Macaca fascicularis: one gene and its partners. The main gene of each other region encodes a partner of the protein of the gene in region 3 in a complex. Links are inferred from orthologs where the notes say so. Each region holds a gene or a part of one and is shown on either strand. Other genes may lie near its edges. The genes, in order: PPP1CC, NIFK and MKI67.

The links.
Region 1: the proteins of MKI67 (region 3) and PPP1CC are in contact, whole or in part, in a crystal structure (PDB 5J28), measured with the Homo sapiens proteins. The link is inferred for Macaca fascicularis from reciprocal best matches to the Homo sapiens genes MKI67 and PPP1CC. Residues at the interface, in NP_002408.3 of Homo sapiens: Arg504, Arg505, Val506, Ser507, Phe508, Gly509, His511, Leu512, Arg513, Pro514, Glu515, Leu516, Phe517, Asp518, Glu519, Asn520, Leu521, Pro522, Pro523, Asn524, Pro526, Leu527, Gly530, Glu531, Ala532, Pro533, Lys535; in NP_002701.1 of Homo sapiens: Val19, Arg20, Gly21, Ser22, Lys23, Pro24, Lys60, Tyr70, Asp71, Leu73, Arg74, Glu77, Tyr78, Lys168, Ile169, Asp242, Leu243, Tyr255, Phe257, Arg261, Pro270, Asn271, Ser284, Asp286, Thr288, Leu289, Met290, Cys291, Ser292, Phe293.
Region 2: the proteins of MKI67 (region 3) and NIFK are in contact, whole or in part, in an NMR structure (PDB 2AFF), measured with the Homo sapiens proteins. The link is inferred for Macaca fascicularis from reciprocal best matches to the Homo sapiens genes MKI67 and NIFK. Residues at the interface, in NP_002408.3 of Homo sapiens: Thr9, Ile10, Lys11, Arg12, Ser13, Pro18, His19, Phe20, Pro21, Ser23, Leu24, Arg31, Gly32, Ile33, Glu34, Cys35, Asp36, Ile37, Arg38, Ile39, Gln40, Leu41, Pro42, Val43, Val44, Ser45, Lys46, Thr66, Asn67, Ile91; in NP_115766.3 of Homo sapiens: Val228, Asp229, Ser230, Gln231, Gly232, Pro233, Thr234, Pro235, Val236, Cys237, Phe241, Leu242, Arg245, Gln248, Val249, Leu252, Asp256, Lys257, Asp259, Glu260, Ile261, Val262, Phe263, Lys264, Gln265, Pro266, Ile267.

The regions. Positions count from the first base shown.
Region 1 is NC_088385.1:117,606,552-117,615,824, reverse strand, and holds part of PPP1CC (serine/threonine-protein phosphatase PP1-gamma catalytic subunit), read left to right. Parts: intron 1-889; coding exon 890-1,021; intron 1,022-2,466; coding exon 2,467-2,697; intron 2,698-8,167; coding exon 8,168-8,272; intron 8,273-9,273. UniProt on the Homo sapiens protein: Protein phosphatase that associates with over 200 regulatory proteins to form highly specific holoenzymes which dephosphorylate hundreds of biological targets.
Region 2 is NC_088386.1:9,999,010-10,009,047, reverse strand, and holds the start of NIFK (MKI67 FHA domain-interacting nucleolar phosphoprotein), read right to left. Parts: upstream 4,772-10,038; 5' UTR 4,754-4,771; coding exon 4,649-4,753; intron 3,649-4,648; coding exon 3,511-3,648; intron 235-3,510; coding exon 126-234; intron 1-125.
Region 3 is NC_088383.1:137,085,574-137,095,571, reverse strand, and holds the start of MKI67 (proliferation marker protein Ki-67), read left to right. Parts: upstream 1-4,138; 5' UTR 4,139-4,429; intron 4,430-4,759; 5' UTR 4,760-4,842; coding exon 4,843-4,934; intron 4,935-7,253; coding exon 7,254-7,332; intron 7,333-7,425; coding exon 7,426-7,541; intron 7,542-9,998. UniProt on the Homo sapiens protein: Protein that associates with the surface of mitotic chromosomes and acts both as a chromosome repellent during early mitosis and chromosome attractant during late mitosis.

The DNA of each region.
Region 1 (9,273 bases), on a different chromosome or scaffold from region 3:
TAGCATTCGCAGAGACAGGATGGCCCCTTTTTTTGGAATACTATAAAAGAAGTCTTGGCCGGGCGCGGTGGCTCAAGCCTGTAATCCCAGCACTTTGGGAGGCCGAGGCGGGCGGATCACGAGGTCAGGAGATCGAGACCATCCTGGCTGACACGATGAAACCCCGTCTCTACTAAGAAATACAAAAAACTAGCCGGGCGAGGTGGCGGGCGCCTGTAGTCCCAGCTACTGGGGAGGCTGAGGCAGGAGAATGGCGTGAACCCGGGAGGCGGAGCTTGCAGTGAGCTGAGATCCGGCCACTGCACTCCAGCCTGGGCGACAGAGTGAGACTCCGTCTCAAAAAAAAAAAAAAAAAAGAAGTCTTACTTGATATCGAAGATACAATTAAATCTTGTCTAATATTTTAAGATTCTAATTAGACATTAAAACCATGTTTAGGCCGGGCGCGGTGGCTCAAGCCTGTAATCCCAGCACTTTGGGAGGCCGAGACAGGCGGATCACGAGGTCAGGAGATAGAGACCATCCTGGCTAACACGGTGAAACCCCATCTCTACTAAAAATACAAAAAACTAGCCGGGCGAGGTGGCGGGCGCCTGTAGTCCCAGCTACTTGGGAGGCTGAGGCAGGAGAATGGCGTAAACCTGGGAGGCGGAGCTTGCAGTGAGCTGAGATCCAGCCACTGCACTCCAGCCTGGGCGACAGAGCGAGACTCCGTCTCAAAAAATAATAATAATAAAAATAAATAAAACCATGTTTATTATAAGTGTCCTGAAAATGAAGCCACTCAGAGAAAGCTAGTTAAACCATGTTTTTGCCCATTTATCTAAATCTTGTATTGTATTTTGTATTTTGGCTTCATTAGACTAATTGTGGTTTTTCTCCTCTGCAGTGAGAGGGTCCAAGCCTGGTAAGAACGTCCAGCTCCAGGAGAATGAAATCAGAGGACTGTGTTTAAAATCTCGTGAAATCTTTCTCAGTCAGCCTATCCTACTAGAACTTGAAGCACCACTCAAAATATGTGGTAAGTTTGGGGCACACAAGTTATCTTTGGTTACGTGATTGATTAACTGAGTCAAGAATATGTTGATGACCTTGTATTAGCTAGCAGAATCATTCTCCTGTTTGTGAATAGCTTGGAACTACTAAAAATTAAGTTAAATAGTAGCTTTAGAATAAATACCTCTAATGGACTTAGTTTACTTAGAGATACTTCAGATTTTTTAAAAAAATATTTTGCTGAAGGAATAAACATTGCAGAAGAAAAAATGAAACTAAGAATGGAGAGCCAAGGAAAGGTCTGAACTACATAGATGTATAGGAATATGTTTTAAGTTTAAAGCAACACTGTTTATAACTAAAAGTAGAACTTCCTTGATGTTGATTTTGTGGTTCTGTTTTCTGCATAATGGAAGCAGATAATTTGTGTTTTAACTCAATGTAAAACTAAACTGTTTTCATTTGCGTAATATATTCTTATAGCATATTTGCATTGATAAAACTTTGTATTCTTTTTTTTTTTTTTTTGAGACGGAGTCTTGCTCTGTCGCCCAGGCTGGAGTGCAGTGGCCAGATCTCAGCTCACTGCAAGCTCCACCTCCCGGGTTCACGCCATTCTCCTGCCTCAGCCTCCCAAGTAGCTGGGACTACAGGCGCCCGCCACCTCGCCCGGCTAGTTTTTTGTACTTTTTAGTAGAGACGGGGTTTCACCGTATTAACCAGGATGGTCTCGATCTCCTGACCTCGTGATCCGCCTGTCTCGGCCTCCCAAAGTGCTGGGATTATAGGCTTGAGCCACCGCGCCCGTCCATTTTTTTGTATTTTTTTAGTAGAGATGGGGTTTCACCGTGTAGATGGTCTCAATCTCCTGACCTCGTGATCCGCCCGTCTCGGCCTCCCAAAGTGCTGGGATTACGGGCTTGAGCCACCGCGCCCGGCCTGTGTTCATGTTTTTAAAAGTAAAATGTTCTTTGGCATTATCTAGCAGGGAGAAATTGAAAGCTAAATGCATTGATGGGTGGGGGGTGGGGGTCGTGTGTATGTGTGTATGTGCTTTGCTCAGACTGGGCCAAGGCTCGCTAAAAGTGCAGCAGTTCTGCTGACACAGTACCTAGAGACTGAGCTATCAGGGATCTGATATTGATCAGTCATCCTGAAAGGAATACCATGTTACTTGGCAAGAAGGCATGCCTGGACATAATAACCCTTTCCACAGAATAAATTCTTAATTAGTTGAATTTTGTGTGAGGTTCTGGACATACACATATACTTAAAAATTTTATTAAGTTCAATTGAACTAAATATGATGCCAGTTTGGAAATTACTTAGTGTTGGCTGTCCAATTAAACTCTCATTACTAGAGGTCAATGCCATTGTACAATGAATTTTTAAAGAATTTCTTTCTAAAGCTTTGTTAGTGGATTGAGCTGTAAGTATGGGAACACTGTGTAACAAAATTCTTGCTTCTAGGTGACATCCATGGGCAATACTATGATTTGCTGCGACTTTTTGAGTACGGTGGTTTCCCGCCAGAAAGCAACTACCTGTTTCTTGGGGACTATGTGGACAGGGGAAAGCAGTCATTGGAGACGATCTGCCTCTTACTGGCCTACAAAATCAAATATCCTGAGAATTTTTTTCTTCTCAGAGGGAACCATGAATGTGCCAGCATCAACAGAATTTATGGATTTTATGATGAATGTAAGTACTTTTCTATATCTCAGGAAGTTATTGAAATTAAGATATTTATCATAAACAATTATCACGTACTTCTGTTAGGAATTGTGAGAGTTTAGATGCAGTGGTATCATCTCTCATGTTTTCTATTTCATCAACTTGTTTTTAACTTAGCTTTTTAGGGGAGGTGGGGGAACAGAGTCTCACTCTGTTAACAGCCCAGGCTGGAGTGCAGTAGCACCATCTTAACCTCATTGTAACCTCTGCCTCCCAGGCTCAAGCGATCCTCCTGCCTCAGCCTCCCAGGTAGCTAGGACTGCAGACATGCATCACCACGCTCAGCTAATTCATGTATTTTTTTGAAGAGATGGGGTTTCACCTTGTTGCCCAAGCTGATCTGAAACTCGTGGACTCAAGGAATCTGCCCACCTAGGCCACTCAAAAGTCCTGGGATTACTCGTGTGAGCCATGGCGCCCAGCCAGTTTTTTCTCTCTTGGGTAGAAAAAGAACACTGCCGCTATAATAAAATAAGGTCTTGGATTCTTTTATGATGTGATGATCAGATTAGGAAATAATGATCATGGTAGTGGTTTCTTTAAGATGTAAATTGTTGTATTCACAGATAACTTAATTCTTGGTAGAAATCTGAGAACCATTCTAAATAGTTTTAAGCAACTTTATTATGTAATTTCATTCCATAAAATTAATCTGTTGAAAGTATACAATTCAGTGATTTGTAGTAAATTTATAGTTAACGCGACCATCTCACCGTAGCCCCCAGGCAACCACTAATCTACTTTTTGTCTGCTAGAGAACATTGCATGCAAATGGAATCTTGGCAATGTGTAAATAATTAGTTTTTGAAATTATTATGGTTTTTCTCCTCTGGCATAACCGCACCCAGGAAGAATGGCAATAACTTTCCTAAAACTAAAATGTGCTGAACAAAGATTATTTTTACAGTATTTTACGCATTTTGTGACTCATTTTGGATTGTTTATTTAAAGGTGCACTTTGATTTGACTATTGACAAAACACAGTTCTTAAAGCTTTGCAAATAGGCTGGGCGCAGTGGCTCACGCCTGTAATCCCAACACTTTGGGAGGCCACGGCAGGTGGATCATGAGGTCAAGAGATCGAGACCATCCTGGCCAACATGACGAAACCCTGTCTCTACTAAAAATACAAAAATTAGCCAGGCGTGGTGTCAGATGCCTGTAGTCCCAGCTACTTGGGAGACTGAGGCAGGAGAATCGCTTGAACCCGGGAGTCGGGTTCAGTGAGTCGAGATCACACCACTGTACTCCAGCCTGGGTGGCAGAGTGAGACTCCGTATCAAAAAAAAAAAACTTTGAAAATAATCAGTTTGATAAAGGGTTTTACGTCAGAAAAGGTTTTGAATCTTTACCTTCACCTTCCTTTTGTGCTTATTTCTGCCAGGAGGGGTTTCAGGTTTGGAGTGAAGGGGTGGGGTGGTTAAGGAACTTCAGGTAGTTGGCATTTGCTAATATGATTATAGGGAGATCAGCAAAGTGTTGTCCCTGTGGCCCTCCCCTAGACCACATCCTAACTTAGAGTCTCCAGATGTGTGTTTTTCCATCTCAGTTCACATAGATGCAGTGAGCTAGCACATTTGTTAGAAGTGCATCCTAGAAAGATTATATTCACAGACTGAGCCCTTCTACTACCACCCTTTCCCACTACTGGATGTTTGCTTGGTCTGTGTCCTTGAGATCCAGCTGGTAAGATGAGGTGGCAGGAATGATCAGGGACAAAAATTCTGTGGGTTCTGGACTGACTGATACCATTGAACCTGTACAGGAAAGATATTCGATATTAACAGGGATTCTGTGTCAAAGAAGTACCAGTAAGCCAGTTACTACTCCTTAGGTAGTGAAATACAAGGCAGATGTGGTGGGTTTTTTTTGTTGTTGTTTTTTGTTTTTGAGACAGAGCCTTAAGCTGGAGTGCAGAGGTAGGATCATAGCTTACTACAACCTGTAATTTCTGGGCTCAAGCAATCCTTTCACCTCAGCCTCCCTAAGTGCTGGCATTACAGGCATGGGCCACCACACCCAGGCAACATTGTGTTTTGGATACTTATTCCAAGTGTTACTCTTGAGTTAAGAAAGGGTTCCTTTTACATAACTGTTAGCCCAGTAAATACTTTTCATGTTTGCACTGATGAATTCAAATCCATTTGACCTCATTGTTGTGACTTCTATCCTAACGTAATGATACTAGCTGCATCAGTTTCAGTTTCTACTCAATGCAGAGGCCTTTAAAATGACTTAGAAGATCAGTGTCGGTTGGTATCAGTTTCGACTCCTGTTTGATCATCAACACAGTTTATAGATCAAGCATCCTCTCTCCCATCAGGCAGATACAATTTGCCATCCAGTCTACTTGTGGGCATAAAAGTGCCCTTGACATAGGTGGCTTCTGGTTGAAGGCTTGCAGACATTTAGTATATATATTATATATATTAATTTTATTAAAATGAAAAGTTGTATTCAAATGTTGATTTTCATGGGACAATTTTAAAACCACTGCCTGTTTTCCAGGTACATAAGTACTTTATACTACCATTTCTTTTTTGTTTGTTTGTTTAAATTTTGCAAATGTGATGAAAAGGCTGAGGTATATGTTGTTGGGTAAAACAGGAGTGTTTGTTGATCCATTTCTGCTATCGGAGCTGTCTGATGTACAGTAATGGGAAACTGCATTACAGGTTATGGCTCAGAATCTTAGGATTTGGAAGCTAGACGATTTCCCTGGTTAAACCTTTTAGGACCCAGATGTTCCTAGTGGTTTGAGGTGGCCTTAGGGAGGATATGAAGAGAGAAGAGAAAGAGACAGCCCCACGCTTCAAGTGCTGAGAGGCAAAAGGAGGAAGCAAACTGATTTTTCATGGAGAGGCCAGCAGAAATCGGCAAGAGAAGAAACTGGAGTTTGTGGCATAACTAAAGAATCAAAGGCCGGGCATGGTAGCTCATGCCTGTAATCCCAGTACTTTGGGAGGCCAAGGTGGGTGGATCACTTGAGGTCAGGAGTTCAAGACCAGTCTGACCAACATGGTGAAAACCCATCTCTACTAAAAATACAAAAATTAGGTGTGGTGGTGCACACCTGTAGTCCCAGCTACTCAGGAGATTGAGGCAGAAGAATCCCTGGAACTCGGGAGGCTGTGGTTGCAGTGAGCCGAGATCACATTGCTTTACTCCACCTGGGTGACGGAGTGAGACCCCACCTCAAAAAAAAAAAATATCCAGAAGTGAAGCTGACCTTGGGGAAAGAGGAAGTCACTATCACTGGGGGGCTAAGGCAGCAGCCCTGTTCTTATAATACAGGTTAAGTATTCCTTACCTGGAATGCTTGGGACTAGAAGTGTTGCAGGTTTCAGAGTTTTGTGTTTTGTTTTGTTTTGTTTTGTTTTAATTTTGGAATATTTGTGTTATAATTACTGGTTAAACATCCCTAATCCAAAAATCTGAAATCCGGAATGCTCCAGTGAGCATTTCCTTTGAGCATCATGTGAGTGCTCAAAAAGTTTCAAATTTTGGAGCATCTTGGATTAAGGATACTCATCTTGTGGTGGTGGTGGTGGTTAGTAGTAGTATTGCTGTTGGACATGGGAGGTGGTGTTTTTGCAGATTGCCCATCAGCCTTTCGTAAGGAGGAGTTTGTTGGTTTTTTTTTTTTTTTTTTTTTTTTAGATGGAGTTTCATTCACTCTTGTTGCCCAGGCTGGAGTGCAATGGTGCGATCTTGGCTTACTGCAACCTCTGCCTCCCAGGTTCAAGCAGTTTTCCTGCCTCAGCCTCCTCAGCCTGGCGGGAGGAGTTTGTTGAACTTTCAGAACCCCTCCAGTGAAGGAGTTAGTAGCCTCTAAAGAAATGCGCAACAGGGTGACCCACAGAGTTAGACCCAGTCATTGAGAAACCAGAAATTACTAGGAGAAAAGATAACACTCTTCTCTGCAGAGAGAAGGCAAACATTTGTTGAATTTACATTACATTTCAAGCCCTGTGCTAAACTCCCTAGACTGCTTGATTTGCATTACAGGGTGGGAAGTGTGGTTCAGGTCAGTTGTTTGGGCTGGCCCTAACTCTCAAAGGAGAGGTACAGGTTTAAACCTTTCGATGTCCCTGTAGTCCCCGGGAAGAGACTAAGGACAAACTCTTGGTTTGGTTTGGTTTGGTTTGGTTTGGTTTGTTTTTTGAGATGGAGTTTCGCTCTTGTTGCCCAGGCCGGAGTGCAATGGCACAATCAAGGCTCACCACAATCTCCGCCTCCTGGGTTCAAGCGATTCTCCTGCCTCAGCCTCCCAAGTAGTTGGGATTACAGGCATGCACCACCACACCCAGCTAATTTTTGTATTTTTAGTAAAGAAGGGATTTCTCCATCTTGGTCAGGCTGGTCTCAAACTCCCAACCTCAGATGATCTGCCCGCCTTGACCTCCCAAAGAGCTGGGATTACAGATGTGAGCTACCCCGCCTGGCCAAACTGTTGGTTTTTAAAGATTGTGCTTAGTAAGGTACAGGAAACAAAGGCATCTGGACAATTGGACAGTCCTCAACCAATCCAGAGAAATTTGTTCTTGCAAGGTATGTGAGTAGGTTTTAAACTCAGAACATCAGTTTCCTGTAGAAACAGTGCATAGTGGCATATTTCTGTCAGAACTGCACTCTGACTCCAGAATGTGTGGATGCCTGTGCTGGTGAGAGAACGTGACCACCCTGTGACATCAGGCCTGTGGGAGCATGTGGAGTCTGTGCAGTGTTGGAAACAAATGCCCTGTAGTGCCTGTGAGAGGCACCACTGCCGTGTGATCATTGTGCCTCCTGCTAGAGCACTGAGGCCTGGGGATCCTCTGGTATCTGTAGGTTGTTGAGGGGAGTACATGGGGGATGGGTGCTAACTCAGGATTCCTCAGAAGGAAGGTCGTAATGCCACATGGTGTAAGTTCGTAATCGCCTTAAGAATTAGGGAACTAGCTGCGGTGAGATTGAACAAAGCATACTGGATTTCAGACAGAATTGATGCTACCAGATAATTCCTGGGATTTGATGGCAATCCTTAATCATTATCAAATCTGGAATTCTGGTTTCATACTTCTGTGGAATTTAAAAAGATTTCATGTGAAAATGTAAGTCATTGCTTTTAGATCAGATGTGTCTCTCCTAAACCCCTTCCCTCCAGGAGAGTCTTTCTTTAAAGAGATGGGTTGTCACTATGTTGCCCAAGCTGTTCTTGAACTCCTGGGCTCAAGCGATCCTCCTACCTCAGCCTCCCGAAGTGCTGGGGTTACAGGTCTGACCCACCACGCCCAGCTCTTATTTTAAAAGAGTGTTAAAATAAGACAGTTTTATTAAGATTCTTAATAAAAACATAGTTTCGTTTGCTTAAAAAGCACCCAGAATCTTGCTTTGGGGGAAGTTAATCCTGAGAGAATGAGCCTACGGAACAGTAATACTCTCTTTTTAATCACAGGTAAAAGAAGATACAACATTAAACTATGGAAAACTTTCACAGACTGTTTTAACTGTTTACCGATAGCAGCCATCGTGGATGAGAAGATATTCTGCTGTCATGGAGGTAGTTGGGCTGATTTTTGTTCCAAATAGGTTTTGATCCCTTCCAAAGGATGAACACTTTAACATTTGTGAGTTACCATTGGGATGACTTCCTCTGACAGAACACTCTCCTTTGTTGATGTGTTGCATTGCACTGTCACTCCGATACAGCCAGGATTACTTGGATAAAAATCTTAAGGAACTGATTTATTACAGGGAATTCTAGACTCTGTAAATTAGGATTGAAAATAGAGCAGAAAATGTTTATTTTTATTTTATTTTTTGTAAGGATGAGTTCTCACCATGTTGCCCAGGCTGGTCACAAATTCCTGGGCTCAAACAATCCTCCTGCCTTGGACTTCCAAAGTGCTGGGATTACAGGCGTGAGCCACCGTGCCCGGCTCGGAAAAGTATTTTTAACTATAAAATGAACAATATGTAATTTGCTGTGCCAGGGATCCTCTAGAACACTGAAGATGTGAATAGATTTTCCCTTGTTTGTTTTTTATCCTCTCAGAACTTTCTCTGACTTGGATTTTAAAAGTTATTTTGTCCAGGCATAGTAATTCGCATCTGTAATTCCAGCACTTTTGAGAGGCCAAGGTGGAAGGATTGCTTGATGCCATGAATATGAGAACAGCCTGTAACATATCGAGACCCCTGTCATTAGAAAAAGTGTTAAAAATTAGCCAGGTGTAATGGTGCACACCTGTAGCCATAGCTATTTGGGAGGCTGAGGCGGGAGGATCACTTGAGCCCAGGGGTTTAAGGCTGCAGTGAGCTATGATCGCACCACTGCACTCCAGCCTAGGCAACAGAGGAAGACCCTATCTCTAAAAATATATACATACATATTTTATAAGCTATTTTTCTTTGCTCAGTGGTTGTGCTTTCTATAATGTAATTAAAATAGTAATTGCAAAGAGAATTTCTTTTCATGTATGGTGTGAAATTAATCAGCCATCAAAAAGCCAACATAATGTCTTTTATCTCTGTGCTTCTATACTTACACAGGTTTTGGTA
Region 2 (10,038 bases), on a different chromosome or scaffold from region 3:
CATTCTGTAAGAGTCATCCCAGAGATGAAGTGGCATGTCCAAGCAGCTGGGCACGCCGCCCTTCCCACCAGTCACCCACCAGCAGCAGGCACCAGGCAACCCTGCAGTAAGACAGGGGCACTTACACTCCAGGAGTCTTTCACCAAACAGGTAGTTGTTCATTGTTTCAGCAACTATCTTGGCAACATCCTCAGACTCAAACTCCACAAATGCATAGCCTTTGCTATTTCCAGTCTGCAACAGAGAAGTCGCCACAAAAAGTAGAACAATCAAATTTGAATGCATCATCAAATTCCTAAAATGCCATTATTTTAAATAATGTATATTAGCTCCTTATCAAATATTACCACACACTTAATTCTAACTTCAATTCACATATTCTGGGGACTGTTATGGGAAAAAGAAAAGATGCAAGAATCTGGACGCACAGCTGATTTTGTGGTATTCTTGGGATTTTGGTTATATGTGATAAATACACAGTTCCTATGGCTGGAATTTATTCAGTAACAACACCCCATGGTATAAAAAAAGTCTTCAACTTAAAAGCCACATGGCTTAACAGTGGGAATCAAGAGGCTCATTTCTAGCACCAGTTGTGTCAGTAACGAGCAACTTGGACACTTCCACAACTGAGTCTCAGCTTAATTATCTTCAACAGGGGGATTCTTGGAAAAATTTAAATCCCTCAAAATCCATTTATAATCTCAACACTCAAAAGGGAGGAGAAGGCCAGGCGTGGCGACTCACGCCTGTAATCCTAGCACTTTGGGAGGTTGAGGAGGGTGGATCACCTGAGGTCAGGAGTTCAAGACCAGCCTGGTCAACATGGTGAAACCCCATCTCCCCTAAAAACACAAAAAATTCACTTTGGGAGGCCGAGGCGGGTGGATCTCGAGGTCCGGGGTTCGAGACCAGCCTGGCCAACACAGTGAAACACCATCTCTACTAAAGATACAAAAAATTAGCTGGGCATGGTGACATGCATCTGTAATCCCAGCTACTCGGGAGGCTGAGCTGGGAGAATCACTTGAACCTGAGAGGCAGAGGTTGTAGTGAGCTGAGATTGTGCTACTGCACTCCAGCCTGGGCGACAGAGCAAGATTCCATCTCAAAAAAGAAAAACTAGGCCAAGCGAGGTGGCTCATGCCTATAATCCCAGCACTTTGTGAGGCCGAGGTGGGTGGATCATCTGAGGTCAGGAGTTAGAGACCAGCCTGGCCAAAATGGTGAAACCCTATCTCTACTAAAATACAAAAATTAGGCCGGGCACAGTGGCTCACATCTGTAATCCCTGCACTTTGGGAGGCTGAGGCAGGAGGATCACCTGAGGTCGGGAGTTCGAAACCATCCTGACCAATATGGTGAAACCCCATCTCTACTAAATATACAAAAATTAGCCAGGGGTGGTGGTGTGCGCCTGTAATCCCAGCTATTCAGGAGACTGAGGCAGGAGATTCGCTTGAACCCAAGAGGCTGAGGGTGCAGTGAGCCAAGATCGCGCCACTGCACTCCAGCCTGGGCAACAGAGTGAGACTCCGTTTCGGGGAGGGGGGGGGAAGGCCAGCACGGTGGCTCACGCTTGTAACCCCAGCACTTTGGGAGGCCAAGGCGGGAGGATCATGAGGTCAGGAGATCGAGACCATCCTGGCTAACACAGTGAAACCCCCTCTCTACTAAAAAAGTACCAAAAAAAAAAAAAATTAGCCAGGTGTGGTGGTGGGCGCCTGTGGTCCCAACTACTCGGGAGGCTGAGGCAGGAGAATGGCGTGAACCCGAGAGGCAGAGCTTGCAGTGAGCCGAGATCACACCACTGCACTCCAGCCTGGGTGACAGAGCGAGACTCTGTCTCAAAAAAAAAAAAAAAAAGTTAGCCAGGCATGGTGGCGGGCACCTATAATCCCAGCTAGTCTGGAGGAGGGCAGGAGAATCGCTTGAACCTGGGAGGCAGAGGTCACAGTCAGCTGAGGAACTGTGCTACTGCACTCCAGCCCGGGCGACAGAGCGAGACTCCGTCTCAAACAAAACAAAACAACAACCAAAAAAACCCTGAATAGAATGAAATAGAAAATCAGCAAATCACACAAAACAAGTTTAAATATTGTCTCATATGGCTTTTATTTCAGTTATGCTTACATGTATGTGTATGTGTGCTGGTTTGTGCTATGAAACTTTTTTTGAAAACCCTCATCTTCTCTGTGATGGTAAAAACTTACTTCTTATTGTGAGCCAGTCTGCAAAATGCTCTTCTAGAAAAATCTGTCTATACCTGCACAAAGATTGTTCCTAGCAGCTTCATGTAAAGAGTTAAAAATAGTAAAAAACCTAATGTTCAGGCTAGGCACAGTGGCTCGCTCACACTTGTAATTCCAGCACCTTCGGAGGCCGAGGTGGGCGGATCACCTGAGGTCAGGAGTTTGAGACCAGCCTGGCCAAAACATGGTGAAACACGGTTTCTACTGAAAATATAAAAATTAGCCAGGTGCAGTGGCCAGTACCTGTAATCTCAGCCACTTAGGAGGATGAGGCAGGAGAATCACTTGAATGTGGAGGCAGAGGTTGCAGTGAGCTGAGATCGTACCACTGCACTACAGCTGCCTGGTGACAAGAGTGAGATTGTCTCAAAAAAAAAAAAAACCCCAAAACAAAACCTAATGTTCAATAGGAGCGTGGATAAACTTTAGTTACCTAAGTAACAAGCAATGATGATAACAAAGGCACTAGAGTTACACGGATAAAGCTCAGATTATTGAGTAAAAAAATTCAGCTGAAGAATGATAGAAATAATTTTAAAATAATACTATATGTACATTTATATATGTACACACGTGTTGTAGCACATATATATATAGATACAGTAAAAACTTATAAACATATATAGCAATGAAAACTGAATTTGTGGCCAGGAGCGATGGCTCACGCCTGTAATCCCAGCACTCTGGGTGGCTGAGGTGGGAGGATCACAAGGTCAGGAGTTCGAGAACAGCCTGGCCAACTAATGAAACCCCGTCTCTACTAAAAACACAAAAAAAATGTAGCCAGGTGTGGTGGCAGGTGCCTATAATCCCAGCTACTTGGGAGGGTGAGGCAAGGAGAATCGCTTGAACCTGGGAGGCGGAGGTCGCAGTGAGCTGAGATCGCACCACTGCACTCCAGTGCAAGCTTCTGTCTCAAAAAAAAGAAAACGGAATTTGTGAATTTAATTCCCTAATTAAAGGAGAAGGTGAAGAACACTGGGAAGGGTACAAAAGGGACCTCAATTCTACCTATAATCTGTATCTTTAGGACAACTAACAGATGATGGATGCACACCCTATCCCCTAGATGCTAAATCAAATAGGTGCCTATGGCTACAACCCAAGTTTATGTGCCGGGATTCTATGTTTCAGATTCTAAACCTCCACTCTTCTTTTTGGAATGAAATCTGATAAGAGTATGTGAACGTGCTCTTTAATGTCAAGAATCACACACATTTGAAAAACAAAACGTCAAATCCAACTTTAAAAATCTTACCCTTTTACTTCTGGACAGTCTGAATCGTGTCACAGTGCCAAACTGGGAGAAATACGAAAAGATCTGGGTTTCGTTAAGTAGGTTAGGTAGGTGGCCCACATAGACTACTCCAGAAGTAAGTCGTTCTTGTTTTTTCCGCTGAAGACATAAAGACCAGGTAAATTAAATATTTTTTAAAATAAGAAAATCACATTGTAACAAAACTTACAAAACCCCTAGCCCTAGGCCCAAGAACCTACTCCGCATTTCCACTTACCACAGTAGTAATTAAAGAAGTGGCTGTTGAGTGTCTCTCTCCCCACAAAGGCCATGGCCAAGCAGTAATCAACTATCTTTCCAGCCTGGCATCCCAGCACCCAGTATAATGTTAGTGCTCAATAACTATGTCAATCAACGGATAAGCAAGGACATCTTCGAACAAGCCATTTTGGATCTTCTGCCCAGAGAACTCTACATAAATATAGCCTTCAATTTTGTATGCATATTACTGTTTACTCGCATTTCATCGAAAAATTTTCGAGACGCTTGCTAACTCTCACAATACAGATTAGCCTTTCAGCGTCTCAACCATCATACCCTTACCTCTGTAACAAGAACTTCTAAGTTTTCCTGTGTAGTTTATGCTAAAAACCACAGAAAGTATAAGCGATGTCAGGGGCCCTGGTCAGCAAGCGGAACCTGGCAACTACTCTATTTTAATAACTCCCAGATCACCAACCCGGCATACAAACCTCCCGAATGTGTTAAGTCTGGGGCCCCCGTTTTCGGGGGGAACGCGGAAGCGTGACAGGTCTAACCCGGAGACAACCTGTGGTATGGGAACCTATTCCCTCCAGGTGGTTCCCTCCGCGGCTTCCGTCACCCCAATACTTCCCCCTTACCCTCCACATGAAGGCTCCAAGGCCTCAGCGGCCAAACCTCTCCATCATTTACCCACCAGCGTAAACCCTTTAGTCTCAGAAACCGTGGCCTGCAAGCTTAAGAGGTGGGTCCCTGATTCGGTCAAATCCGCTAAGGATACTCTGGAAGGCGTGCGCGAAGGCAAGGGGAGTCCGGGCGGGGAACCGCGCAACCCCGGATACCCCCTAGACCCTGTCCGTCGCCCCCGCTCGCAGCCTGGACCAGGGTGCCTGCTCACCTGGGTTATGCGCTTGCGAACCTGCGCCACCTCCTTTTGAAACTCGGCATCTTCCTGCGGGTTAAGCGACAGGATCGGCCCAGCTGGGCCAGAAAAAGCCGCCATGCCAAAAGCGGCCAACACTAACTCCACGCGGCGCTCCCGGAAACGACGGGCTCCCAGCTCCCCTGAGGCGGAAGTAGAGGCAGGACAGGGGCGTGGCGAAGCGCGGAGGCGAGGCGTGGCGAGGGGTGGGGAGGGCCATGAGTCGCGCGCGGGGTTGGAGCAGGAGTAGCACGGAGAAGCGGGGGTGGGGCACGAGGCGCGGGGCGCGGGACGCGGGACGGGGCATAAATTGTGCCGTGGTGCGAGGGCGGGGCACGAGGCCTGGCGAGGGGCGGGGAGAGGCATGAGTCGCGCGGAGGCGCGGCACCGGGCGTGAGTTGTGCCGAGGCGGGGGTGGGGAGTGGGGCGGGACGGGGGTGGGGTGGGGACAGGGGTGGGGGTGGAGACGGGGGGGGGTGGACAGAGCGGTGCGGGGCAGGGGGGCCCCGGGGCGGGGGGGAGTGGGGTCTGGGGCTGGGCTGGGGATAGTTTCCGCGCCCTCCGCTGTAGGGGCGCCGATTGGCTTGGCTTAAGAGTGCCTGAAACAATTACCTTCACGCCTACTTAGAAAGGCGGTCTACAATTATAAAACAGTACTGGTGCCCGAGATGCTGCTCACATTCCTCAATTTGCTTATTATTATTTTCGAAACAGTTTCCGCTCTGGTTGCCCCAGCTGCAGTGAAATGGCTCAATCTGAGCTGACTGCAACTTCTGCCTTCAGAGTTCAAGTGATTCTCCTGCCTCAGTCTCCCGAGTAGCTGGGATTACTGGCGCCCGCACCACGCCCCACTGGCTTATTTTTAGTAGAAATGGGGTTTCACCATGTTGGTCAGGCTGGTCTCGAAGTCCTGACCTCAGGTGATCTACCCGCCTCAACCTCCCAAAGTGCTGGGATAACAGGTGTGAGCCACCGTGCCCAGCCCTAATTTGGTTATTTCACTCACTAGTGTGTGAGCCCCTCCTGTGTGGAGACCCCTAGAGAATTTACAGCCTGGGGCAGCATGGCTGCTTTGAGAGATGAAAGAACCTCGTGGGGGAGAGGCACACTGGGTGACGCAGGAGGGTCCCCCTTAGGAGGTGGTGTTGGCAGCGAAGCCTGAAGGCTAAGGAGCAGGGTCTGGAGAACTGAGGCCCTGCCATCTGCTGGATCAGACAGGCCTACACATGTGTTCCTAGGTATAGAAAGAAGGACCCAGCAGTGGGGTTGGAGCCCAGCGTAGGAGGGAAGAGCTGCGAGGGGGCAGGCTGGAGTCCCATGGCTCTGTGTGTCAAAGTATGAAACTGGGGTTTTGTTGTAAATGCGAGGGGGTGGTTGGGTTTTAAGCGAGGCTGTGGCTGTTTACACCTTTTTTGTCCAGAACTGGTGGATTCTTGGTCTCCCTGACTTCAGGAATGAAGCCACAGACCCTCGTGGTGAGTGTTACAGTTCTTAAAGATGGTGTGTCCAGAGTTTGTTCCTTCTGATGTTCGGACATGTTCAGAGTTTCTCCCTTCGGGTGGGTTTGTGGTCTCACTGGCTTCAGGAGTGAAGCTGCAGACCTTTGCGGTGTTACAGCTCTTAAAGGCAGTGCGTCTGGAGTCGTTCATCCCTCCTGGTGGGTTTGTGGTCTTGCTGGCTTCAGGAGCGAAGCTGCAAACCTTTGTGGTGAGTGTTACAGCTCATAAAGGCGGTGCACACCCAAAGAGTGAGCAGCAGCAAGATTTATTGCAAGAGCAAAAGAACAAAGCTTCCACAGCATAGAAGGGGACCTGAGCAAGTTGCCACTGCTAGTTGGAGCAGCCTTCTTTTATTTACTTATCTGACCCCACCCACATCCTGCTGATTGGTCCATTTTACAGAGAGCTAATTGGTCCGTTTTAACAGAGTGCTGATTGTTGTGTTTACAAACCTTGAGCTAGACACAGAGTGCTGATTGGTATATTTATAAGCTAGACATAAAAGTTCTCCAAGTCCCCACCAGACTCAGGAGCCCAGCTGGCTTCCCCTAGTGGATCCAGCACAGGGGGCACAGGCAGAGCTGCCCTCCAGTCCCGCTCCGCGTGCCTGCACTCCTCAGCCCTTGGGCGGGTAGATGGGAAGGGGCGCCACCCAGCAAGGGGCTGCACCCCTTGGGGAGGCTTGGGCTGCACGGGAGCCCACTGCGGGGCATGGCGGGCTGCAGGTCCCTGGCCCTGCCCCATGGGAGGCAGCTGAGGCCTGGCAAGAATTTGAGCACAGCGTGGGTGGGCTGGCACTGATGGGGAACCTGGCACACCCTCCGCAGCTGCTATCCTGGGTGCTAAGCCCCTCACTGCCGCTCCAGTGCAGGGCTGGCCCAGCCTGCACCCACTCAAAACTTGCGCTGGCCCACCAGCACTGCAGGCAGCCCCGGTTCCTGCTGCGCCTCTCCCTCCACGCCTCCCCTCAAGCAGAGGGAGCTGCTGGGACAGCACAGAGAGGGGCTCCCACAGTGGAGCCGCAGGCTGAAGGGCTCCTCCAGCGTGGCCAGAGCGGACGCCGAGGGCTGCTAGCACGCTGTCACCTCTGTCTTGTCTTTTTTTTTTTTTTGAGACGGAGTCTTGTGTTGCCCAGGCTGGAGTGTAATGGCACGATGTCGGCTCACTCACTGCAACCTCTGACTCCTGGGTTCAAGCGATTCTCCTGCCTCAGCCTCCTGACTAGCTAGGGCTACAGGTGCGCACCACTACTCTTGGCTAATTTTTGTATTTTTAGTAGAAACGAGGTTTCGCCATTTTGGCCAGGCTGGTCATGAACCCCAGACCTTAAGTGATCTACCCGCTTCGGTCTCCCAAAGTGCTGGGATTACTGGTGTGAGCCACCGCACCCGACCTGTTTGTACCTTTCAAATACTATTACACTAGTGAGTAACTGAGTGGAGAGGAAGAGTGGGGAGTGGATTGCCGAGGAAGCAGGGAGGTGAGGCGAGAGTGACAGATCAAGCACAGCTAGCGTCAGGGGATAGCACCCCCCTCTGGAAGCCCTGAGGGCAGCCCAGGGTGTGTGTGCCTGAAGAGTGGCCTGTGGGCCTGAGGTGGAGGCCCTGGGAGGGAGTGCCTAGCAGAGGCCAGCCCACTTCCTCTGACAGACACTTGCCTCCCTCACTCACAGCCTTCGCCTCCTTCACCCCGGCACCCTCCGGTTCAGCTCCACTGTCACCCCCAAGGGGGCATCCCTGAGGCTGTAGCAAAGTCAGCTCTTCCAGTTAAGCGCCCTCTTCCCATTGTGTTTTCTTTTTGTTTTTTTGAGACGGAGTCTCGCTCTGTCGCCCAGGCTGGAGTGCAGTGGCCGGATCTCAGCTCACTGCAAGCTCCACCTCCCGGGTTTACGCCATTCTCCTGCCTCAGCCTCCCGAGTAGCTGGGATTACAGGCGCCCACCACCTCGCCCGGCTAGTTTTTTGTATTTTCTAGTAGAGACGGGGTTTCACCGTGTTAGCCAGGATGGTCTCGATCTCCTGACGTCGTGATCCGCCGTCTCGGCCTTCCAAAGTGCTGGGATTATAGGCTTGAGCTACCACACCCGGCCTACCCCATTGTGTTTTCATGGCTAGGCTGGATTTTTGGGAGTGAGCGAGCAAGAGCAATTTGATTCTTTTTCAGGAGTGCCCCTTTCCATGGGCTTGTTCTTGCTGTCCCCGGGATGAAATCTTGGGGAGAGCTCTGCACTTGTGATGGCTCCTCAGATGTCAATTAACAGAAGCATTTCCACGCGTTCAAAATCTAGTATCAAATGTCTCCTCTCCCTGGCTCAGTGTCTCAGGCAGAGAAATCCCCAAAGGGGAGCACAGTCCACATCGTATTTGTTCTTGGCTCCACCTTCTCTCTACACCCCAGTTTCTTTTTTTGGCCTTTTCTAATCCCGGAAAGGCCAAAAAAAAAAAAAAAATGGAGAAAGGAGAAAGGGGCTCCTTGCTAGCGGGTGCCACGTGGCCAGGGAGCTTCAGAGGCGGCAAATGCCAGGGTGCTGGCACCTTCTCTCCAAGCACACATTTGAGGTGTCCCTTAGCCGGCCGCTCATGACTCTGCCTGCCTGCCAGAGCTTCTGCTTGTCGGCCAAGGTCAGCTCTGCGTCCAGAGGCTCCTGCTGGAGGGGCCTTTCCGACTGGACTTTATCATCCTGATCTTTTAAGAAGGGCCACGTCTTTTGTCTGTCACTGCCATGGGATTGCACTCTGCGTTGCTGCCAGGCAGACCTCCTGGCTGGCCTCATAGATGTCGGTGTATAAACCAGGTACAAGTCCCTGTATCCCCCAAATTCCAGAGGACGTAGACCAAATTCACTGGTTCCCTGAAGGTGTCATCTGTGTCCTCGTGTGTGTGTGTCTGTGTTTGTGTGAACCCTGTCCTCCTTCCTGAAGGTGACATCTTGACATGTCTCATAGCTACTAAGGGGAGAGGAGGATACGGGAAGGAATGACGGCAAACACATCTCTAGAGAAATCCTTTCTCAGGTTTTCCCAACCAACTCCACCTCCATGAGTGCCTGGCCTTGCCTTACATCCCCTCAGGTGGGTAGTGACCCAAGGCTTCTCAAACTTGAATAAGCATGTGGATTGCCTGGGGCCCTTGGGGCCAGGCAGGTGCTGATTCAGTAGGTCTGAGGTGGCCCACGTTCTATGTTCCTATCAAGCTTCCAGAAGAGGCCAATACTCCATAGACCACACTTAAAAACAGGAATAGAGATTTGTGGCATTGATTACTGAGTCAGAATTCTGGGACAGAATGTATTCTGTCACCCTCCGGAAGATTTGTTCAAGTCCTAATCGCTGGTACATGGGTACGTGTGAATGACACTGTACTTGGAGAGTCTTTGAGGATGGAATCACATTAAGATGAGGTCATGGCTGGGCACGGTGGCTCACGCCTGTAATCCCAGCACTTCAGGAGGCTGAGGCAGGCAGATCACTCGAGGTCAGGAGTTCGAGACCAGCCTGGCCAACATGGTGAAACCCTGTCTCTACTAAAAATACAAAAATAAGGCCGGGCACAGTGGTGGGTGCCTGATCTCAGCACTTTGGTAGGCCGAAGCGGGTGGATCACTTGAGGTCAGGAGTTCAAGACCAGCCTGGCCAATAGGGTGAAACTCCATATCTACTAAAAATACAGAAATTAGCCAGGTGCGGTGGCAGGCACCTGTAATCCCAGATACTTGGGAGGCTGAGGCAGGAGAATTGCTTGAATCTGGGAGGCTGAGGTTGCAGTGAGCTGAGATTGTGCCGTTGCACTCTAGCCTGGGTGTCGAGGAAAACTCCATCTCAAAAAAAAAAAAAGAAGAAGTTATCAGGACGTGGTGGTGCATGCTGGT
Region 3 (9,998 bases):
CTGGCCTCCCCCATCCCCGCCCTGTACCCCTAAGTTAGGGTCTTTATCTCCACTAATTGGAAATGGGGGGCGCTTGGGGACAGTGATGCTTTTTTTGGGGCAGGGGCAGAGATAGTGAAGTTCCGGGACCCTGGTGCTTTCTTGATTGGTGCAGCGCCCCTCTCTGCAGCCACTCTAGGGTCCCAGGGCCTGGGCAGTGAGCCAGGTGAACCGCCGGAATCCAGGCCTTCGCGTGGACACTTCTGGGGGCGCCAGTAGCCCAGGAGGCCGAGCCCAGGGTGTCCACGAACTGAGCCTCCATCTTCCTGCCCCGGCGGATGGGGGCGGGGTCAGGGATTGTGAACTTTAAAACCCGCCCCCCCACCTCCAAGCCGAGGGCGTCCACTGGGACCGCTGGCTGGGAGCTGAGATGTTGGAAGGAGCCTCAGGTCAGGAAGGAAAGAAACTCACAAACAGGACAGGAGCCAGAGCTAAAGAGACCGCCCTTGCCGGCAGGGCCGCCCCTCCAAGACTCGCCCAGGCTGACGGAAAGTCTTCCAAGGTAGCTCCCCGCACGAGTCCTTTTTGCGTGTTTCTACTTCACTTTCCCCTCCGAATTTATCCTAAGGCACCTCACATGCTTTTGTATTAAAGGGTCTTTTATACACTTCTGTTCTACTTATCTGAAACTCTTCCTTGCCTTTATTATTTATTTATTTATTTATTTATTTATAAGACAAGGTCTCACTGTGTCGCTCAGGCTGGAGTGCAGTGGCGCAATCTCAGCTCACTGCAGCCTCCACTTCCTGTGCTCAGGCAATCCTTCTGCCTCAGCCTCCTAGAGAGTTGGGACTACAGGCCCACGCCACCAGCCTGGCTAATTGTTTTTTTAATTTTTCGTAGAGATGGAGGGTCTTGCTATGTTGCCCAGGCTGATCTCCAACTCCTGGCCTCAACTCCTGCCTGGGCCTCCCAAAGTGCTGGGATTACAGGCGTGAGCCACCTTGCCTAGCGTCTCTTCTTTTTTATGTATACATACACATACATATTACACAGGTATTTATATACATACTTACTAAAACAGTTGATGAAACAACACTATCACTATCTTAAAATGGATCAATAAATGAATATTTTTAAATTCATGTTTGCAATGTTTCAAATTACATTTTTATGAAACATAAGATCAAATTTTATTGTAAGTATATACTCTAATCAGATGGATGGACACAGTTAAGGGAATTGTTGGATATTTCCGTTATTGGTTGCCTGGGGCAATGTGCATTGTAAGTTTCAGGCAGATGAGATCTGCAGCTTGGGAGTAAGAAGGGTGAGAAGGACCCTGGGGCATGGACTCCTTTGGAGACCTGTCCTCTGGCTGACTGATTTTGGACATGAGAGAGTGTGAACTGTGAGGATCTGGAAATGGATTCCCTGAGACTCCCCAGATCCACATAACCCCTGGAAAGTCTCTTCCTGCACATCTTGGGTCTCTGGTGCTCTAGCCACAAGCTTTTGTTCCACACCCCATTAGAGACGCTGATCACACTGGATGGAGACACAGGGCCAGAGGCCAGCCTGGGAACGGGAGGCATAGGGCTCTTCTCACAGTCCAGAGATCTGCGTTTATTATGAAGTCTTAGGCTTTGGGCCAAGTTTAAAATTCAACAGAAAGCCCCACTGCAAAAGTCTATCATAAAACAGTTTAAAGACAGGCTCTCCTTTGGATCTAAGATCCACCACTCTGACCATTCCCCTGTATCTTTCCTTTAATTTCCTGCTGTCTCTTGAGAATTGGTACTCTGTGTTCACTAGTGTTTGGATTATCGGACAGATATTCTAGCATCTCCTAGTTCTGTTTTGAGGCAGAGTCTCACTCTGTCGCTCAGGCTGGAGTGCAGTGGTGTGATCTTGGCTCACTGCAACCTCTGTCTCCTGGGTTCAAGAGATTCTCCTGACTTAACCTCTCGAGTAGCTTGGATTACAGGTGCACACCACCATACTGGGCTAATTTTTGCATTTTCAGTAGAGACGGGGTTTCACCATGTTGGCCAGGCAGGTTTTGAACTTCTGGCCTTAAGTGATCCACCCACCTTGGCCTCCCAAAATGTTGGGATTACAAGCATGCGCCACTGCACCTGGCCTAGTACCTTCTAGTTCTAATTAGGCTGCATCCATGAGGGTGGAAGAACTGTCCCTGGAAACAAGCAGTAATTAGGATGTGAAAAGTTGTATTTTATGGGGTTATGCAGTGGTGAGCTTTGTTTGATCGTTTAATGGAAAGAACATGGAAACTCATGCCCCCTAAAACGTTTATGTAATAGTTTCCCTGCATTGAATTTTTCTACATGAGACTTGGCCCATACAATTTAGAGTTGCTGTCCTATGCTTTTATGTTGCTTTCCCAGTTTCTCTGTTTCCATCAGCAGCTGATATCTTTGTAGTTGCTCTAGAGCACAGGGCTCAGTCTTTTCAATCTTGTGGTCTCTTTACACTCTTAAGAATGATTGAGAACCACCAGGAAGTTTTGTGAATGTGGATGGGTTATATCTAGCTATATTTATATATTTTAAGGCTAAGGAATTTAAAAATATTCATTTATTGATTCGTTTTAAGATAGTGCACCTGTTTGATGCTAACACCAATAACTTACCTTTATGGAAAAAAATCTGCATTATCCAAAACAACAACAAAATGAAAACAGCACTTTATTTCACATTTTTGCAAATCTCTGTAGTGCCTGGTTGAAACGGAGACAGTGGGAGTCTCCTCACTGCTTCTGTATTTGCAGAACCGCATCCCACACTCTTGGGAGCATGAGAATAAGAAGGACAAGTAACACTGAGGGCCATTAGAGACATGGTTTTGATCTCATGGACCGCCCTGAAAGGAATAGGAAGCCCTTAGGGGTCCCCTCCAAACAGTGAGAATGCTTGCTCCTGATCAAGGAAGCCAAGCTCCAAGGGTTGCTGGGGAGCTGGAGGAGGTGAGATGGGGCTGCAGGGAGGGTGTCACCAAAACCATGGTTGGGCTCCATTTACTTCACCCCAGGTGGCCCACTGAGCCCACATGGCCACCAGCGCAACTGAAGCAGACCCTGATAGAATCCTGTGTATAATTATTTTAGGATTCACCCATCTTGGCATGCACAAGGCATTTTAATTGAAGAATGTTTTCTAATAACAAAACGTTTTAAACCTAAATATGTGGCAATAGTAAAGATTAAGTAAATTATGGTTTCCCGAAGCCCAGTGCTCTGCAGCCATCAAACAGAGAGTAAAAGCGAGAATGTACTGGGTGGAGATAGCCTCAGGATATTTAAAAGCAGAGAACACAAAATATAGAACCGTGTTGTGTATGTTATGATCTTTTTTCTGTGCTTTTGAAAAAGAGAATACACGTATAGCTGGAAAAGACACACCAAACACACCAAACCATATAATTGGTTGTGTTTGGTAAGATGTATGCACTGAAGAGGAAGGGTTCAATTTTTTTTTTTTTTTTTTTTTTTTTTTTTTCTGAGACAGGCTGGAGTGCAGTGGCGCCATCTCAGCCCACTGCAGCCTCGACCGCCCTGGCTCAAGTGATCGTCCCACCTCAACTGTCCCAGTAGCTAGAACTACAGGCGCGCCACCATGCCTAGCTAATTTTTTTTAGAGATTGGTTCTCTCCAGGTGCCCCAGGCTGATTCTGAATTCCCGGGCTCAAGGGATCCTCCTGCTTCAGCTTCCCAAAGTGCGGGGATTACCGGCGTGAGCCACCGTGTCCCGCCTGTTTGCAATTTTTAACAGTTTTAAATCTCCTGGCAATGAGTAACGTTATAGTTTCCCAGGTGTTTGGTCCTTTAAGAAAAGGATGGCAGGACGGGTTATCTCGGTGGGAGCGTGTTCCACCTCTGCCCTCCGCCAGTCGCCCTCGCCCGGGCTGCACCCAGGTATTTTCCTCCGGATGAATGAATGGCTCGCCCGCGGACACGCCAGCCCCGCCCCAGGAGCCCCGTTTCCGCCTCCCCTCCCCGCCCACTCCCTGGCGCCCTTCCTATTGGTTCCATGCCGCGCTTTCCCGTTCAATCGCAGCGCTTAGCGCCAGAATTTGAATCTCCGTTTTCGTTTGAATTGGGCGGGCGCGCCGGTTTGGAGGAAGGAAGTGGCGGGCGGACGCAGCGGGCGGGCGGGAGGACTCGGCGGGAGCCCCTAGAGCCGGGCGCCCGGGGACGTAACCTGTAGGGCCACCGGGTCCCCGTCAGGGGCGGCGGCGGGAGCAGCGGGGACCGCAGGCCGGGGCGGAGCGAGCGCGGCCCGGCGGGCTGCGGCCGGGTGTGTGCGGCGCGTGGCGGGCGCAGCTTACCAGGCGAAGGTGAGCGCGGCGCCGGCTCCTCCTGCGGCGGACTTTGGGTGCAACTTGACGAGCGGTGGTTTGACAAGTGGCCTTGGGGGCCGAATCGTCCCAGGTGAGCTGCGGCCGGGACGCCTGGGAGCTGTCCGGGGTCGAGGGCTGAGCCGCGGGGAACCCCGAGCTCTGCGGGGACGGACGCGCGGCCTGGGCCCGACTGCTCCTGGGCTCTGGCGAGGGCGTCTGGGTGGAAGCTCCCGGGAGGTGCAGGCGCTGGCGACAGCACTCCGGCCGCGGGACTTTGGGGCGCCAGGGGCTGCGGTCGGGTTGTGCTGGGGTCCCCGCTGGCTAGCTGCGGTGTGCGCCTGTGTGGCCGGGGATAGGTGGACTGAGCACGCGGCTCTTCTTAGCTCCTTTGCTATCAGAGTAACCCGCACCTCTTTTGCAGTGGAAGAGTTGTAAATTTGCTTCTGCAAACCTTTCGGTACCTGGCCTTCCCCTACGGATTATACTCAACTTCTTGTTTAGAAAATGGGGCCCACGAGACGCCTGGTTACTATCAAAAGGAGCGGGGTCGACGGTCCCCACTTTCCCCTGAGCCTCAGTACCTGCTTGTTTGGAAGGTGAGCCCCGCGGGCGCGCGCGGACATTTCAGCTGAGAAAGAGGAAAATATCTTAGTCACAGTACACGGTCCAGAAACGCGCTCTAGGATTGGGTCCTGCTGTCACTTTTCCTTGGTGCTTCTCCCATTCGTTACTAAGTTGACATAGTTGTGTTTTGTTTTGCCAAATATAAATTTGATGCTAGTGTTTGTATAGGTGTTTTCAAAAATCAAGCCAATTTAAAAAATCGATTTTCTAATCTTACGATAAAGAAAGATATAGATAATCTTCATACCTCACTGGCTTCAGGCAGGCGTCTGAAGACACTGTGCGCCCCCGGGTCCCTCCACACTGGACATCACTGGCCACTGGGGACCCTAAGAGAATGGAGGAAGGAAGCCATACACTTGCCTCTTGGCGGCAATAGGAAAATGGGACAGAAAGTCTTCCTGCTTGGAGTTTGAGAACATTTTCTCTTATGTTGCTGTCCCATTTGGTGGTGGTAATAACACAGTCCCTGTATAACAGGCAAAATGCTAACAATGCCCCTATCAGCCTCTGACATGTGTCCCACTAGAGGTCTGAGAAGGGGTCACTTCCTGTGTGGTCTGGGCCCTGAATCCCATCCTGGCCTCACCCCATCCTCCCAACCCCATCCCTACCTTGTTCCTCCTGCCTAAGGCATTCCAAGCCCTTGTTCACCTTGGTACTTCTTACACACTTGGAAGTTTATGATGGGAAAGTTCTCCCCTTCCCCAAACTTGTGTGATTTCCATCATTCAGGCATCAGGTGAAATGTCACCTCCGAGGAAGCCTTGCATGAAAATTTGTGTTTCCCATCCCACAGCTTCATGGGTGAGTTGTGGGTTTGTTTCCCACTAGGCTGAGCTCCCCAAAGGCAAGGACTGTCTTGTTACTACACAGGGGGTGTGATCAATACCTAGCATTCTGGCAAGGGTCAGTAGAAACACCGGCTGGAGCCACCGATTTGCAATCGCTTAAGAGCAGTGGTTCTCACAGGAGGGTCATCTTACCTTCCAGGAGTCATTTGAATTTCCATGTCACAATACAGGAAGGGGACATGTGCCGTCATCGCAAAGGAGAGGTCAGGGTGGACAACCTACCAGGCTCAGGGCAGCCCCCACAATACAGAAGCATCTGACCCAAGATGTCAACAGTGCCAAAGCTCAGAAACACCCATCCACCCATAGTCGTCCTCCTGCCAAACAAATTCTCAGTTGTAGGGGATAGTCTCTCCTTTGCTCAGATGTCCTGTTACCTTAAAGTCAAATTATTTTATTTGGGGTTAAGGTAGCTTTTCACTTTCCATGGATACCTTTCTCTTGAAAAGGAAAAATATAAACATTTCATCTCAAGTGGCAGTCCTTTTGCTTTTCATACAGTAGTCCTTGAATGTATTTTCATGCAAGATTTTATAATTTAGAAACTAATTCCTAAGTGTTTGGTCACATGACCTGGGTAGGAAGAGAGATTCTTAGACTCCAAAGGTTCGGATGGAGAACAGACAGGGCATTGCATAATTTGTTCAAATTTTTAAGATCACGGGCTAGAACAGGCACACTGAAGACTCTAGGAACCTACTAATGAACTGTTCTGATTATTAGTTTGTGTAGGTTTAGGAATTGTCTCTTCCGCTACTTTGCTGTGGTGTTAGCTTTCTGTGGAAAAACAAGTTGAATTTAGATTTTTTTTTGTTGCGCACAAGTTAGTATTTTTATTTAGAGACTTTTGAGTCTGTCCGTAAATTCAGTGTAGTTTTAAAACAACAATGAAAAGCTCACCCATAATGAGCATTTACTATGTGCTAGGCAAATTAGTGACATGTACATCCATTTAATTGTTTGAACATCACATGATGTACTCTATTGTATATGAAGAAACTGATGCACAAAAGTGCTAGCATAAAATAAGCACATTTGGGGATGATTAAACCTCTAAACATATTTAACATTACAAACAAACGTTTTTGAGAAAGCACAGAGTATTAAAAATAGTCATTTTCCAAAATTGATGTAAGTACTCCTTTATTTGTGTCTTTTAAGTATAGCTTTTTATATAAAAGGTAATTCAATTTGTATTCTAGTGTCTTCCCTTATTTTCATGTACTCTGTTTTAAAGATCTAATAGTTACATGATTAATACTTCCAAAAGTTCTTTGCAAAATGCAAGATCGTTTACATTGCCCATTTTGTTACTCCTTTATGTCAATTATGTTTACAGATCAAACATTCTAGTCAAATTGTGTTTTATTTTGGGAAACTGAGGTAATGTTTTAAAAAGTTACAACAACCAAAAAATCCTTCTTCTTTCGCATGAAGGGGTATTGAATGTGACATCCGTATCCAGCTTCCTGTTGTGTCAAAACAACATTGCAAAATTGAAATCATTGAGCAGGAGGTGAGTGGTTTTCTGGAGATCTACTTTTAAAGCTTTTAGTTCACTTTCAATCTGTTCATTAGTTACATATTTTCCCCTTTTTTTCACTTGCAGGCAATATTACATAATTTCAGTTCCACAAATCCAACACAAGTAAATGGGTCTGTTATTGATGAGCCTGTACAGCTAAAACATGGAGATGTAATAACCATTATTGATCGATCTTTCAGGTAGGCAAAAGCTGATTGGTCTAACAGTAAATGTCATCTTCTGATTAACTGTAAATTAGTGTCGTAGTCAACTGTCATTCTTCTTTAATGTTCATGGATGTCAAAGTATTTCAGGTTTTCATTCTCAACACTAATCTTAATTTAAGAGGATATGGATCTAGAAAGCTGACTAATTGGGACAAAATGTGATGGAATTCAAGGATTTGGGTGCAAATAATTATGCAGAGGAAGGTTGACCTTGTCCTAAAGGAGTTTGTTATTTTCTTCCAAGTGTTGTGAAACTGCATGAGATTTTTCTATTCTTTTTTATTTTAAAGCAAAATACACTCAGAGAAAAAGGTACAAAACAAGATAGACAGGTCAATTTATCATGTGAATACCCTTTTGATCACTACCTATTGTAATAGGACTGATTTGTGCTCTCCCAAAATTTATATTTTGAATTCTTAACCCCTCGTACCTTAGGCTGTATTTGGAAAGAGGGCATTTAAAAAGGCAATGAAGGCTTTTTGAGGCCATTAGTATGGGCCCTAATCTGATGATTGGTGTCATTATGAGAGGAGATTAGGGAACACATGCACAGGAAAGCCCACGAGAAGAGGCAGCAAGAAGGCAGCCATCTGCAAGTCAAGGAGAGAGGCACAGAGAAGTCCAATCCAGCTGACACCTTGCTCTTGGACTTCTGGCCTCCAGCACTGAGAAGGGCATGTCTGTTGTTCAAGGCGTTCAGTCTGTGGGACTTTATTATGGTGGCCCTAGCAGACTAATATACCACCAGCTTATATAGAACATTTCCAGAAGCATTTTAAAATGCTGTTTTCTAATCACGACTTCCTTCCCTCAGCAAGTAGACCACCGTTTTGGCTTTCAGGATATCAAATGTCTCGAGTTTCACTGCCTAAGCATGGATCTCTGAACACACTACAGTTTTGTCTGTTCTTATGAAAATCCTTAACAGTGATATAAGAATGTATACATTTGTGCCTGGCTTGTGCTTTTATGTGTGTGAGATTCATAGCATGTTGGGCATCTCTGTAGTTTGTTCCTTCTCATGGCATAAGTATTTCACTGAAAAAAATATGTTTAATATATACAATAATATACATAACTATACAGAGTTCATTTATTCTTGATGGACATTTGACTAATGTCCAGTCTTTGAAATGTGTCAGGGTTTGCTTTATGAGCAGATACGGTTAATTATTTTACTAATCTGCCTTGTGTAATTGAAAACTATTCTACAGTGCCTCAGATATTTTATTTATATACGTGTGTGTATATATATACACACACACACACACACACAGATACACACACTCCCGTTAGATTCAAATCTTCTATATTCTAATAAATTTTTCCCTACTATTCTAAGAGATATGTTCAAATCACCTACTGGGGATTGATTGATTGATTTGTTTTGATCTCTTGTCAGTTTTTGCTTTGTATATTTTGAGGCTGTACTATGGTGTACAAACTTACAATTATATCTTCTTGGTGCATGGAACTCTTTGTCATTTAGAGATGTCCTCTATTTTTAGCAATGCTTTCTTTTCTGCTTAATGTTTCCTTTGGATGATGAATATGGCTAAACTAATTTCCTTTTGGTCAGTGCTTGTGTAGTGTAACTTTTTCCACCCCCTTAATTTTAACTTTTCATAATTTTTATGGTTTATTTTAAGTTGTCTCTTGGAACCTATTGTCAGATGAACTCTCGTGTTTAACTGGAATATCTTCTTGCTGGATTGATCCTTATGTAAAATGTCCTTTTTCTCTATGAATAATTTTTGTCTGAGGTGATTTTGTGTCATGTTAGTATAGCACTCCAGTTCCCCTCTGCTTGCTGTTTGCATGGTATATCTTTTCTCATGCTTTTATTTTAAAGGATTGTGTCTTTGAATCAAAATTGTGTCTCTTGTAGACAACATATTATTTGGGTCATTTAAAAATCCATTTTGCTAAATGGATCTCTGTCTCTGTTATTGTCTTCATTTGTATTAGATAGTTATTTTTTTAATGCACCACTTAAATTCTCTGGTCATTTATTTTACTGTGCTTCTTGGAAGTTTGCCCTCATTTTTAAAGAGTATTTTTATTTAATACAGACTTCTATGTAGGAAGTTTTGTTTGTTTGTTTTTGAGACAGAGTCTTTCTCTGTCACCCAGGCTGGAGTGCAGTGGTGTGATCTTGGCTCACTGCAACCTCCGCCTTCCGGGTTCAAGTGATTCTTGTGCCTCAGCCTCCCAAGTAGCTGGGATTACAGGCGCGCACCACAACGCCCAGCTAATTTTCGTAATTTTTTTTTTTTTTTTGAGACGGAGTCTTGCTCTGTAGCCTGGGCTGGAGTGCAGTGGCCGGATCTCAGCTCACTGCAAGCTCCGCCTCCCGGGTTTACGCCATTCTCCTGCCTCAGCCTCCGGAGTAGCTGGGACTACAGGCGCCCGCCACCTCGCCCGGCT